Arabidopsis thaliana: one gene and its partners. The protein of the gene in region 2 interacts with the protein of the main gene of each other region in a biochemical or structural test. Each region holds a gene or a part of one and is shown on either strand. Other genes may lie near its edges.

The links. The genes of interacting proteins can lie anywhere in the genome.
Region 1: the proteins of PIR121 (region 2) and GRL form a complex in vitro, tested with the Arabidopsis thaliana proteins (2 studies listed by BioGRID).
Region 3: the proteins of PIR121 (region 2) and RAC3 form a complex in vitro, tested with the Arabidopsis thaliana proteins (one study listed by BioGRID).

The regions. Positions count from the first base shown.
Region 1 is NC_003071.7:14,800,830-14,805,490, forward strand, and holds the start of GRL (transcription activator), read right to left. Parts: upstream 3,022-4,661; 5' UTR 2,931-3,021; intron 2,716-2,930; 5' UTR 2,697-2,715; coding exon 2,295-2,696; intron 2,202-2,294; coding exon 2,127-2,201; intron 1,747-2,126; coding exon 1,666-1,746; intron 1,459-1,665; coding exon 1,378-1,458; intron 1,264-1,377; coding exon 1,181-1,263; intron 1,086-1,180; coding exon 1,001-1,085; intron 915-1,000; coding exon 789-914; intron 655-788; coding exon 547-654; intron 253-546; coding exon 1-252. UniProt on the Arabidopsis thaliana protein: Involved in regulation of actin and microtubule organization. Part of a WAVE complex that activates the Arp2/3 complex.
Region 2 is NC_003076.8:6,101,946-6,106,599, forward strand, and holds the start of PIR121 (transcription activator), read right to left. Parts: upstream 3,036-4,654; 5' UTR 2,921-3,035; intron 2,847-2,920; 5' UTR 2,839-2,846; coding exon 2,785-2,838; intron 2,472-2,784; coding exon 2,399-2,471; intron 2,316-2,398; coding exon 2,251-2,315; intron 2,111-2,250; coding exon 2,033-2,110; intron 1,696-2,032; coding exon 1,576-1,695; intron 1,490-1,575; coding exon 1,419-1,489; intron 1,324-1,418; coding exon 1,231-1,323; intron 1,047-1,230; coding exon 977-1,046; intron 888-976; coding exon 823-887; intron 678-822; coding exon 482-677; intron 373-481; coding exon 221-372; intron 117-220; coding exon 23-116; intron 1-22. Other genes in the region: AT5G18420 (CCR4-NOT transcription complex subunit), read right to left, coding at 3,693-3,793, 3,960-4,044, 4,255-4,396, 4,482-4,555, 4,631-4,654. UniProt on the Arabidopsis thaliana protein: Involved in regulation of actin and microtubule organization. Part of a WAVE complex that activates the ARP2/3 complex. Interacts with the active form of RHO-family GTPases.
Region 3 is NC_003075.7:16,670,612-16,675,310, reverse strand, and holds RAC3 (RAC-like 3), read right to left. Parts: upstream 3,120-4,699; 5' UTR 3,068-3,119; exon of another isoform or gene 2,891-3,067; intron 2,528-2,890; exon of another isoform or gene 2,480-2,527; 5' UTR 2,457-2,479; intron 2,393-2,456; exon of another isoform or gene 2,346-2,392; 5' UTR 2,136-2,345; coding exon 2,037-2,135; intron 1,733-2,036; coding exon 1,645-1,732; intron 1,561-1,644; coding exon 1,451-1,560; intron 1,349-1,450; coding exon 1,285-1,348; coding exon of another isoform or gene 1,205-1,284; exon of another isoform or gene 1,187-1,204; coding exon 1,122-1,186; intron 1,041-1,121; coding exon 975-1,040; intron 876-974; coding exon 771-875; 3' UTR 522-770; downstream 1-521. Other genes in the region: BGAL11 (beta-galactosidase 11), read left to right, coding at 3,337-3,546, 3,640-3,735, 3,834-3,946, 4,032-4,098, 4,188-4,280, 4,372-4,515, 4,597-4,691. UniProt on the Arabidopsis thaliana protein: Inactive GDP-bound Rho GTPases reside in the cytosol, are found in a complex with Rho GDP-dissociation inhibitors (Rho GDIs), and are released from the GDI protein in order to translocate to membranes upon activation.

The DNA of each region.
Region 1 (4,661 bases), on a different chromosome or scaffold from region 2:
TGCTACACTATATTCTAGATCAGCTTCCTTTTGTTTAGTCCGTCCAGACTTAGCCATCTTCTTTGATTCTAACACTCGGGGTAAAACATACAACTGGTAGTCTTCGTGCAACAGAATGTACTGCATAGTTAGATTAATAGAGTCAGCTGATGCAAAACTAATTCCAATACCAAACTCTTTTTCGCAGACCATTTGATATAAACTCACCTCATCCCGGAATAACGTCACGACTAAGTTTTCCTTTAGCACGACCTGAAATACAACAGGACAGTATTAGAGACAGCACGAATTACACGCAATCTTGATTTGTTTTGAGCATCAAAAACCTAACTCCATTACTAATCTTAAGTTAAACAAACACTGAAAATGAAAGCACTTAACATTTTACAAACAAAGGCAGAGAGAGGCAGAAAATTTCTGATTTGTGAAACAAATTTATAGAACCTATTATTGACCAGATAAGATAGTTTTCAAGATAGAATCCTTGGAGGAAAAACTTCTTTATCAAGATCACAATCGAGAACAAAATGAAAAACAGATTCATACCAGGGCGATATCAATGCTAGTAACACGAAGAAGCTCGTCGGGGCAAACGAGATATCCAAGAAGCACCCACTCTCGGTACGAAGTAACATTTGCAAGATCTTGCGCTCTCTGTAGGAACCAAGAGTGTATTATCTAATATTAGCACTATACATCGAAGTAGAGTTGTAAGGGAAAGACAATAGCATCCTACTAATTCTGAGAATCCTAAGCTTTTATGTTGATAATAATCTAGCCGTTCGTACCATGGGATGAGCAGAATTTGTAAGTATATCTGGGAATCTAGGATGATATGGGCTTAAAAATCCCTCATTTCTCAACTTCCTCGTATCTGCAGATAGAAAAATACTGGGTCCTACAGCCTCCAGGACCTAGGAAAATAGTAACGTTGTTAGTACTGCTGTATCAGTTGCAATATTAGCTCGTAGGATACCCGTGATTTGAATAAAATATTAACCTCTCCAATCCTTGGGCTGACAAAATTCAAATCTTCTTGTAAGCCTTTCAATGGGGGATCATAAGAGTCTATGAATTGCACCAAGCTGGATGCAAGACGAGGAGTGTTAATATATGATATCAGAGTCTATTGATTATATACAAATTAAAAATGATACTACAAGGAAAAAAACATCCATACCGGTGATAAAAGTCACAGTCTCGATCATTTCTTGATAGCGCATGCAGAAGGTTGTAGACTTGCAACAACATTTTCCTAGGAATCTACTTTGATAAAATAAACACTCTTACATATTGATAATAATGTAATGTCTCACATGACATGTGTAATCAATCCAAATAAACAAAGAACTAAGAAAAGGAACAAGCTCAGCATACCTTCTCTGCGAAGAGATTGACTCGGACAAATGCACAAAAGAGATCCATGAATGCATGCAGAATAAGTGAGTTCTGATGAGGCTGCAAAAAGCTGAACTAAGTTATGAGCTAATCATGAATACTCAACAATTTTATCTTCATCCTCACAGACATTTTTGACAAGTAAATAATAACTTAATGTACCAAAACATTTCATGACCTCCACCTAAGGTACGAGTTCAAAAGAAAGCTCAAAGTTTCAACCCAGAGCAAGTAAATACTTTCCGCAGATGAGAGACTTTGACTCACCAGCAAGGTAATTACAGTGCTGCTTAGGTCCAATATAAGCCGCAGTGCCTGTTCTCGAAATGCCATCAAGTCGAGCAGCAGCTGATTCAAGAAAAGAAAAATGCATGACGAGAGGACTATGAAGGCACCCCTTACTGAAATGCTACACACGAACTAAGGAAAGAAGGCTAGCAAATAACTACTCGTTTACATTTTAAAAGTTAAAACCATGTATTAGGTAAATCATATATGCATGCCCAGATATATAAAGCTGACTAATGGTGAGATGGAATAGAAGATTGAATATTGACTATATAGCAGACTGAAGATTGAAGATTGACTAGGTACACAAAGAAAACTAATAGAAAGATTGACTATATAGCATGTAGGACTTCCGAGATGCTTCACCATTCTCGAACAACAAGTTTCACAACAACAGAACGTAAACCCAACAACATATTACATAGATAGTTTCTTATTACCTGTATCCATGGCTCTAAGCTCTGTAAGTGAAGTTCAGCACCATCATGCAAGCTATCCAGTGAAAACTTATCAATCTGCATAAGTATTGCAGAATAAATCTTTTTTCATTTACCATCAGATCAACAAATCAAACAGTAAGTCTAATAAAAAAAGAACTCATGACTTACACGTTCAAGTTGCAATTTGCTGAAATGCTCAGGGAACTTTTTAGAGAGCAAAGTGCATATCCGTGGATGGTTAGGGAAGACACCCGCTTTCCAAAATGCTTCAGAGAATACATGGCCAACAGGATCAGGATACTCCAAGATTTGATTCAGTCTATACATTTTAGCCATGAGACCGTCAGCAACCTCAATCATTTGAACTACCCATTGTATGTTCAAAGCCTTTGTGGAACCACCAACATGTCCATCAATTTGCTTAGAGCTCCTAGTAGAAGACACTGATGCAGCCATTTCAGGTCCCAAGTACTCAGTCCATCTGGAAGGACCTTCCCATTCCCTTGATCTCACAGAAGTCGGGGACATTGATTCATCTTGAGATGGATAATATTGACGAGAATTCGCCATTAATTCAGTACAATAATCTCTACAATAAAGGAAAATGTATTTCAAAATCACGTTACACAATCTCGTCCAACATAATTTACTTAGCTCTCTACTCTTGCATTCATCTTCCAAAAACCCAGTAATACTCAACAACGAGTGACGAGTGAGAATAGATATCCCCTCGTCAATTTCCCAGCAACCAAACAAGGAGCTAAAACCAAGTCAAGCAAGAGTCTCGTGAAGATTGAAAGTTACCTGAGAAGCTTTAAAGGCGAAAGTCAAATCGAGCAAAAATGTCTCAGTAAGATCGGAGCTTCGTCTGAGAGTTCAGATCTGAATTTCTGCAACCTACTCCGGAGACGATGATGACGACGACAAAGAGGAGAGAGAGCGTCGGGCTTAATCGGAGTGTGTGAGCCGAGAAATAAAGAGTTGCTAAATTCGGGTCTCTCTCATTTAAGACAAAATTAGTCAGTAGAATTTCTTTCGTTTTCAACTAAAATGCAGATTTTTTTATTTTTTTTTACTCTTTTCTTGCTCAAGCACATTTTTTACTTTTTACCTGTAAATCTAAACATTTCCATAGGAAACGAAACAATGTAAGTAGAAGAAAATTATGAACAATTGAACAGCTGAAAGTGTTTATCCCTTTCAAAAAATAAATTGTTTATAAAATTTTAATAAAATATGAGATTTTTAGTTATATTGAATCGGAATTGTCTACTTGAATTTGAGCAGTGCAAGACAACATTTTTTCACTAGAAAAAATGATATTTCAAATCATGTGTTGTTTTGGTTTGATTGTAGTTATTTGGATTACAAGTTTTTTTTAGCAAAACTATAGGATTAGCTCCAACTATTGAGATTTTAGCATAACAAACCAATGTTCTTTTATCATATGTACATTAACAGAAGGTAAATTCAAATCTACGACATCTATTTCAATAATGAGGATAGCTAAAATAGAAAAAAGTATTTGGTATATTATGTAGTAAGTACTATTTTTAGTATTTAAAAGGAAAATTTCTGTTAGAAAAAGAACAAACGTTCTAGTTGGGTGGTTGAAATGTAAGTTTTCGAAGCTTTGACAAAATGAGAACAAGTCCCTTAACCGGTAATTTTTAATATTTAAAAACAATTAACCAAGAGAACAATATTGACGTCGACAAATACTAACTTGTAGTATATAATTATCATTATCTCTACATATGGAGTAGCTTTTAGGTGTAATAATTGTCAATTATTTTAGAATTACTGTGTTAAACTTTAGTATGATTCGACTAATAAATAATGTTTCTGACGTTTCTGATGATGAATTTGCCCCTCCCTCACTTTTTGTTGCGTGTCCAAAGCTCAGTGCTATCCAAGCATTTCATCTTTTCAACATAATTATTTGATTTGAGAATTTAATCATAATGTTGATATTACTTTTTTACTAATAGAAAACAATCAAACAATCAAATTAATAAGTAAATTAGTGGAAACCATGACACACAAAAACAACTTCATATAATAAAGTAGGGTTGACAACGCAGGAATATTGTATTACAAGGCACATCTTGTAACTTTGTTGGACAACTGTGGCTAAACAAGCTTGGCCTTCACAATAAGCAACAATGATTCCAAAATCTTTTCCCTCTGTGCACATATCATTGCATCACAGATTTTGTTTCCTTTCACATTATCTTTTGAGGTCCCTATGAACCAGAAAATAACAAAAAAACGGTTTTCACACGGTTGCTACAATATGACCGAACCTATATTCTTTATTCGCATGAATCTTCCATTAGCTTCTTCTTTGTACTCGGCTATTATCTTGGATTCCAATTTCTTCATCTCAGGACTGGGCAGTTATTTTACTGAACTCCAAATTAATTCAAGAGTCTACAAGTGTAGTTGCTGCCGTGCCTAGACCTACGGAGGTAAGGTCCATCTGAAGAGAAGCATTTTTCTTGTCAACATGTTATCTTATATAGTATGAACATT
Region 2 (4,654 bases):
GGGATAGAGATAGCTTGAGCACCTGATTCATGGATGAAGCAAATCGGATTGTGAAATCGTCATGCTCAGCACGGAGAGCTCCAATGTGATTGACTATCAAATAGTGCCTCTGATATGTAAAATATGTTAAGGCTTGCAATTTTCAAAGCATGTGTACGGTTAACAATAATCCAGATAATAGTTAAAATAGGCAAGTAACAGTGAAAATATTAAAGGATATTCTAGCGCTTCACGTGGAGGGAGCTCATGAGGTGCTGGAAGAGTCAGAAGGCGAGTCTGTGATGAAAACTTTTGAAAGTATACCGACAATTCTTTCAAAATTGCAGCAGGAGAAAGATGGAGATCTGGAAACGCAGGAATGACAGGATCATTCTGATAGCCGAAAAACACACAACAAATATGACAATTAGCGACTTGGAAACAAGGCTTTGCGGTATATTGGTTGTGAATGCGAAAACAGGTATAACATGAATCTCAATACCTTGAAAATGTTTATCAATCTGTTGAGTTTTACCCTCTTGTATAAAGCCTCGGTATCTTTCTCAGATGGTGTTGCTAAGACAACAAGAACAGGTAGAACCCGGAGAAGAATATACCGCTCAGGAAAAAGTAGTGCAAAATCCAACTCCAGAGACTCCACGATGAAGACTATGAGAACTTGGAGAATATCTTCCACACTGAATTTACTAAGGAATCCAAAAGCTTGCAATATAGTCAAATGGCACAAGGGACTTGAGCAGCATGCATATCTCAGATAGACAAACCCATAATAATGTCTTTAACAGCCACACGATGGTGATAAATGTCTGGAAGAAAGGATACTTGTTTACACGGAACATCTCAACGTGCAGGTTGAGTAAAATAGCCCATCTTGTGCTCAGGAAGATCTGCATACATAAGAACTCACATTTTCATTTACGACAAACCACAGGGGAAGGCATTATCAAATGATTGCATAAACAAGCCATGCAAACACCTGCAAGTCGTCTAACTCTTCTCTCATTGTATCTGTATCTTGCCACTGCGCACTGACTTGAGTGAATGTTCTGAAAAGAGTGAAACTATCTTAAGAACATAAACTAAAAAAAAAAGCTTCTAGGAAACTAATTCAACTCTTAAATAGAGCTTTAGTAGCTGAAAGGATTAGTAACAAACATCGATCTACCTACATTCAAGTGTCCTATTTGCAGAAAATATAGATAGGAAAGATAAAAGTATTATATCTTTCACCTCTTATACCAAGAGAAATCATTAGGAATGCTAGCTTTAGCATTTTTAAGATGATCCAGCTGAACCAAGACGTCAAGCAACTTTAGCATTGACCTATATTAAGTAAAATCACAGTTAAACTATATACACGAGGAAAGTTAATCATCCAAGGATCTAATACAAAACACAAAATAAGAGTTATAACCCACCAAAGATGTGTGACTGTGGGACCATTGATCCGCCGTTCAGGTCTGGAAAACCGCTGCATGTCAGCAGCTAACTGCACAGACAGAGAATATACGCACATTATTTCTGATACAGGAATTTATATAAAACGAGTTGGACGAGGAAGGATATACACCGCACTTTAGCTGAAGCCGACGATTGCCATCTTTGAATTTCGCGTAAACGGCTCATTTCTAAGTCCAAAACTTGATATGTTTCTAGATACAAATCCGCTTGACTATGCTTCATAGATTCGGGAAGCTGCATGTATATCATTAATAAAGAAAGTTATGTGTGTTATGGAAGAAATATACACAACAACACCCAGCAAGAAGTACTGTATTTGATATTATTTTCAGTAATTTCTATCATTCGCTATTATTTATACAGAGAACTTTGTTGTTGCTTTTATTTTTGCATTATAACTGCATTATACTTTGTAGTTCAAAAAAGAGTCTCGTACAGTTGCTACGAGATTTCGAATACCATGAAGAACTAACGCATAGCATAATTCTCAAAGCTACATTTTATCAGATAAAATGTCTAAAGGTAGATATGCAATGGAGACAAGGAGTGTAGTGATAGATTTCACAAGGACCTGAGGCAGTGCTTTGACACAACTTCTATATGTGTATAGAATTGACGCCATCTCTTTTCCTTCTTGTATAAGTGTATTCTGCATATATACAATTGGTTGAAAACTTACTTGAAGTATTCAAATATAACACGATTAACACAACATAACCGTAAAAATATCAAATCGTAATTTAATCAGTCTTTCTAAGATGAGGCAAATGAAGAAGAATAGCCATATACCAGCTGGTTAAGAGCTTTTGTGTCTTCTGATAGAGACAACCGGTATGCAGCGACGTCACTATATTCTACAGAATAGTAATAAAAAAAAAAACATCTTGATTATTTGGATTTTATGGTAAAAGAGTGACAAGAGAACAATGAAGCATACCGATGGGACTATCGGTTGCTGCTCTTTCAGCTGAAACCATCACAGCCGGTCCTTGGACTTCTGGTTGCTCATCCTATAACCAAAATTCAAAATGCTTCAAGAAAATGTACTAGAGTGACTTCAAATTTTTCAAGAAGCTACTTAAATCTTCAACATTTCGTTGAAACTTATTTTACTGCTAACTTAGGCAAAGATCCACAGGTGATTAAACAATATATGTGATAATTTTACACGAAAAGGATTTAACAAGAAATAGAAACAATAATTTCATATCCTTTCTAGAAGAAAATTTTGAAATATGAACTCCGGAAAGAAAATTTGTAGTCAAAAGGATCCAAAGACCCACAATTTCTAAATTTTACCAAAATCTAGAATATCGAAGTTACCTCTAAGGAGAATGTGGAAAGAGCTGCGATTGCTTCCTCTACAGGAACCGCCATTGAGTCACCTGGAAAGATCAGACGAAGCAATTAGCAACATTGGGCGACTAAAGGATAAAGCTTTCAACTTTAAGGCTCTTACCCAACAACAATGGAGAGGAGAGGAGAGCTGCTACTACTTCAAGTCAATTGATTCGCCTTTCTTCTGATTCTTTACGGACAGAGATCGATAAATTCGCTACTACTCTGTCCGAACCAAATATTTCGCAAAGTTGGAAGCTTTCTTTTTCTATTTGTTTTTCTGTAACAAAAAAAAAATGTTTCTTTTTGGGTCCTCGTTTGTATTTTCACCTTTCAGAATTTTTCTTTAGTACATATTTGTTCAATCCGATTAAAGCTTTGAGAAGAAGCATTACATTTGTGTCTTTACTATGAAGCAAACTTGATGACAGCTAAATCATTATTTACTGATTCCTTTATCCTCAACCATTTCTTATTTTGGGAAAATACATAAGAGTAATACCAGTAACAAAACAAAATAGATATAAATACAATTTTACAGTGAACAACTACTGAACATAAAATAAGTTACTTTGTAGAATCAGTAACAACTTTTAAGGTTTAACCGGAGCCTTAAACCAATCCGGATAAGAACCAGCAGGTGTTGGTGCTATCGGTGTGAGCATGTAAACCGTTCACGGTTAAGTGTTAGTAGCCTAATGGAAAGGACATGCCGTCTAAGTCTAACCAGAAATTTTTGTTGTAAAAACATATGAATTGAGAATGAAACTCTAGAAAAAGCGAAAACTGTCTTGGATTCAAAATAAAGTACTTTCTTTAGCTACAAAAATAGGGAATACAATAAAATGGAGACGAAGATGATTAGAAGAAGAAGAAGAAGAAGAAAGAGTAAATTATTCATCCAATTGTTTCAAAAGCCTGAAGAGACCAGCTGCTTCTCGAACCCGAGAAAACTCAATGCAGAAAGCTTGAACTTCTATGAATAGATCCTTCACTGTTACATTTTTTACCCAAAAAAAACATATATCACCCACAATTGTACATCATACTAATAGACTATAAAAGCTTCCTCTGTGAATGTATCTAGTGATCTTTCTGTGTTATTAGCAAAGCAAAACGCCTAATTTGATAGCAATCAGTCAGAAACAGAGAATGCATACCGTTGATGATCTTGTTACGAATTAAGCTTTGCAAGAAGACGCAAACAAGCCGTACAAGCCTATTCTGCATGTATTTGTCTTGCTGCTACAGATCGAAAACAATATATCACTATACCGTTAACAAAACAACTACATTGAAATCAACAAATCCGAGAATCATATACACAAAGCACATAATGCAAAGCACAAGCAGAAGTTTTTTCACACAAGATTATAGGATGGCGTTATGGATACTCATAGAAAGCTTTGTTTTAAGTACCTAACGGGAAATCAAAAGGACGCTTTGTTTTAATACCTTAGCGTTCTCACAAGACGATATGCAATTAGTGATGTACATCCGTATGAAGTCCTTGGGAAGTTCAACTGCAGTTGTGAGCCTATTCACAACTTCCATTGAGTGCAGGCTCATGTCCATATTTCCTAGAGCTTCATAATAGCTGAAGAAGCATTCTTAGATTCCCACTTTAAAAGTTATAATTTTGGTCGAAAGTAAATGGTGGAACCAATAAGGTGATGACTTACTCATTAATCTCTGTGGAGTTATTCAACTTGGTGAGAATTTCAACTGCTATCTGAGGATTGTGCTCTACTAATTGCTGAGAATAAGAAACTAGATCACATGAAAAAAAGAAAAAAGAAAAAAACCACCTGCCAGAAAATGAATCACATACCGGCAGCTTCCGTGGAGTTATTCC
Region 3 (4,699 bases), on a different chromosome or scaffold from region 2:
TGAAAGACATATTAGGTGAATATTAGTTCACTAAACGTCATGACACATATCTAATCATTTCAATTAGTTTAGGAATCGAATAATACGTGGGTCTAAATCAAGGGGCAGATAACGCAAAGAAAGAGATTGATCAACAAACATATATGTTTGGTAAAGAGAAGCCAAGCTTATTCACCATAAATTTTATTTAATCAATGATTTATTTTTCCTTTTTTTTGTCTTTTCCGGTGAGAGTTAAAATCAATCATTCTATTATCTCCAAGGGGAAAACGTCTAGTCAATAAGCAAAATGAATATCAAATAAATTTGATTAAAAATGTAAAATCAAAAGTTTTGAGGTTCTGAAATCATTGAAGATTATAGTCTAAAGATCAGGTTAGGTCTATGTGGAATTGATATGTATGGAAGACACTCTGGCTCATTCAGAAGGTTTCAAATAAGCTGGTTTAGATACTATTGTCCAAGAAAGACAAGTGCTCTCTCATTCTCATTGGTTCGCGCGTGTAAGCTCTCATTGTCTTTAGGTTTGGAACATAATCCTTAAGACAATTGGTGTGAATCTAGGAAACAGAGAAATCAAGGATTCGTGGTATATTTACAGATCAAAATGCAAACAAGAATACAAATACTTGTTACTAGTTCTTCAACTTTTGTCATTTTCAGACTACAAACAACAGATTTTTGATTCCTTGGGTAAACAAGTTATGAAAAAGGAGAAAACAAATACTTATAGCTCTAATTCTCCTGTTGATTCCTTTCTTCTTGTTGAATCAGAGTATAGAACAACCTTTCTGAGATTTTCTCTTCTTCTTCTTCTTGTTTTTTGGTGGCTGGAGAACGACCTTGATAGCCGCATCAAACACTGCTTTCACATTCTGTTGAACAGATAACAGATATAGGAATCATCAGCAGATTCAATTGGCGGTTTTAGACAGGTAAAGATTAGATAAAGATATTGACTCTCAGGTTAATACCTGTTGAGTTTTTGCACTGCATTCGATATAAGCAGGCGCCCCAATCAGCTTCTTTAGTTCTTCACCCTGTTTTGATACCATCAAAATATGAAACATGCAGAATATTAACACCTAGGATTCAGTTTAGAAAGATAATGAGAAAGGTACCTGAGCGGTAGAGATAGGCACAGCACCAGGGTGCTCGGCAAAGAATTGCTTATCATCTCGAAGATCTGTACGAGACTCAGTCATCAAAATATCAGAAGAGTTCCCCAAAACAGAAAACCCCCGATAATCAGGCGATTAAGAGTTGAGCTAAGAAAAAACCAACCAAGCTTTGTTCCAACGAGGATGATGGGAACACCAGGAGCATAATGTCTCAGTTCAGGAACCCACTAAGAATCAAAAGCAAGATACCAAATGTATTCTATCAGAATCACTGAATGTAAACTGAATAAAACAGGAAAGAAGTTTCAGGAGAAGACCACAGATCAAACCTTTTTAGAAACATTTTCATAGCTAGCTTTGCTGACAAGTGAGAATGCAAGTAAGAAGACATCTGCACCGCGATAGCTCAAAGGTCTTAGTCTATTGTAGTCCTCTTGCCCTGTTTCACCAAGTCAAAAACACAAATGACTCTCTGGAAGAGGAGGAAATTCAAAAGACAAAAAAATCCAAGGTAACAACTTGCCTGCAGTATCCCACAATCCCAAGTTGATAGTGTTGCCATCAACAATCACATTGGCACTGAAATTATCGAACACAGTTGGCACATAATCCTGTCACATAGAAAATTCCACTAAAACATCAGCTACAAAATCTCCTTACAGAAAGTTACCTAACACTCTTTCTAAGATCATTAAACAGATCAACAACATTGCTACGGTACATGAATCTCTGAGTCTCTCAAATCCTAAAGATCACATCAGTACATTCACTAAGGTAGCAGAAAGAAGAAGACTTTAAGAAAACCTAACAAATACTTGTGACTAAATCCAACTCATAAGCTTCAACAACAAAACCAACTTCACCAAGCTAAAATTTCACGAAATCAAAGTAAAAGAAGAGAACTTTAAAGCTAACCGTGGGGAAAGTGTTGCTAGTGTAGGAGATGAGAAGACAAGTCTTTCCAACAGCACCGTCGCCGACAGTGACACACTTGATAAACCTTGAAGCACTCATCTTTCTCTCCTTCTTCAAACTTCAAAAACCCTAATTTGTTCACGAATTGGGGATTTTTGACTAAAGAGAGAGAGAGTGAGGTTCTTTAAAGAGAAAGAAGACAAAGAAATAGCTGCTGAAAGTCTCTCCCAGACTAGAGTCTTCCTAATTTTTACTACTCATCCTCACATGCACCTCAATTTCTTGGTCTTCTTCTTCCTTTTTTTTCTTCTTTTTACTAAAATTTTATAAAATAGCATTTCTTCTTAGATAGTGCGTTTCCCAACATAAGACCCTACAAAAATTTATGGGATGAAAATTATAATAATAATTTCTATGTACTTTTTTTTTTTTTTTTTTTTAAACTTCGTTTTCATCTAATACTATGCAGCCCATATACTAAATGCCTAAATCTATACATATTTAGATTGATCTTTAAATATCAATAAAAAATTTAGCTAAATTTTGACTGGTTTAGAGGATTTTTCCGATGTGTCATTAGGATTATACAACTATGGTTTAAATATCAATAAAAAATATAGCTGGTTTTACAATGCAATATGATTGGAGTGTTAATTTTTATTGATCAGCCTCCTTTGGATACATATTCTTCTGTTACATGTTAAATGATAATATTTTTGTCCCGGTATGTTGAAGTAAACATTAAAAATGTACATACAACTTCTCTAAGAAATAAATGTTGAGACACTAAAAAAAACGTGAACTTAAGGTCAATATTTAATATTTTTATAACCAATCACGGTATAAAGGCTTACCTTTTGAATCTGTCTAGCTAGTTATTGACCGTTAATTTTAAAAACACTTATTGACCGTTAAAGAATCTGTTATGGGGACCCAAAAAAAACGAATGGTAATTTCACTAATTTGTTATGTTATGTCCAACATAATAGGCGAAGAATAGGGTGAAACCAACATTTAAAAATAGCAAAAACAAATTAAAAAAAAAAAATCGAAAAGGAAAAATGAAGAGAGTTTCAAAGTTACAACGGTGGATTCTATTTCAGACGCGTAAATTTCTCCGGAAACCTGAAAACCTGAGTGCGAAACATTCTCTTATATCATCCTCTTTTCTGAAAGCTTGTTATTTGAGCTCTCCTTGTTTTTTATTCCTCCGACAAGGACGAGGTTCCAAGAGAACTTAGCTTCTTGTTCTACGTACGACACCAAAAATTAATTCAAAAAAGAAAAAGAAGAGAGTTCAATGAGAAAACATTCTCTTGATCGATGGCTTTTAACAGCTGTTCTTGTCGTTCTCCTCTCGTCTTCTTCCTCCTTCGCGGCCAAGAAGGACGCCAAGAAGAAGAAGAAGAGTAATAAGGAGGTGACATATGATGGAACCTCTTTGATCATCGATGGCAAAAGAGAGCTTCTTTATTCTGGCTCTATTCATTACCCGAGAAGCACTCCGGAAGTATTTATTGAATCACATAATCTCTGTTTTTCTAAAACGTTTTTTTTTTTTTTTTGTATATTGAGATTATTGTGTCATTTGGGTTTGGTTTAGATGTGGCCAAGTATCATCAAGAGAGCCAAGCAAGGCGGTTTGAACACGATTCAGACATACGTTTTCTGGAATGTACATGAGCCTCAACAAGGAAAGGTAATTCATAACCAAAAACTGATCTATATATAGAACATATAAAACACGCATGCATGAATCTTTAGGATTCATAATGTATTTTGTGTTGCGTTCATCAGTTCAACTTTTCGGGACGAGCTGATTTGGTGAAGTTCATAAAGTTGATTCAAAAGAATGGAATGTATGTGACCTTAAGGCTTGGACCGTTCATCCAAGCTGAATGGACTCATGGGTAATAATGCATTGCTTCTTCTTCTTTTTCGGCGTTCTCAAGATCTTCATTTTAACATTTTATATGATCTCTTTGTGATGATCAGAGGACTTCCTTATTGGCTTAGAGAAGTTCCTGGAATTTTCTTCCGTACAGACAATAAACAATTCAAGGTATTATACATAGAATTACTATATATATGTCAATGTGTGTTTTGTTACAATTAGATATATTACAAGATATGACCATAAAAATATTGCAGGAGCATACAGAAAGGTATGTACGGATGATACTCGACAAAATGAAGGAGGAAAGATTGTTTGCGTCACAAGGAGGCCCCATTATATTAGGACAGGTGACAACAAAGAAAAGAGAAACCTATATATTTATATATGATTTGAAAAATGTTATAAAATGATGAGTTTTGGAATGAATATGAATTGCAGATAGAAAACGAATATAGCGCGGTTCAACGTGCATATAAACAAGACGGGTTAAACTACATTAAATGGGCATCTAATTTGGTGGACTCAATGAAACTCGGGATCCCATGGGTTATGTGCAAGCAGAACGACGCTCCTGATCCTATGGTAAAGTTCATTTTTACATGATTGTGTTTTATCCGAATGAGGAAGAAAGTTTTAAAATATTTGAAAACACTGTGGAAACAGATCAATGCTTGTAATGGAAGACATTGCGGTGATACTTTCCCCGGTCCAAACAGAGAAAACAAACCATCTTTATGGACTGAGAATTGGACTACTCAGTGAGTTT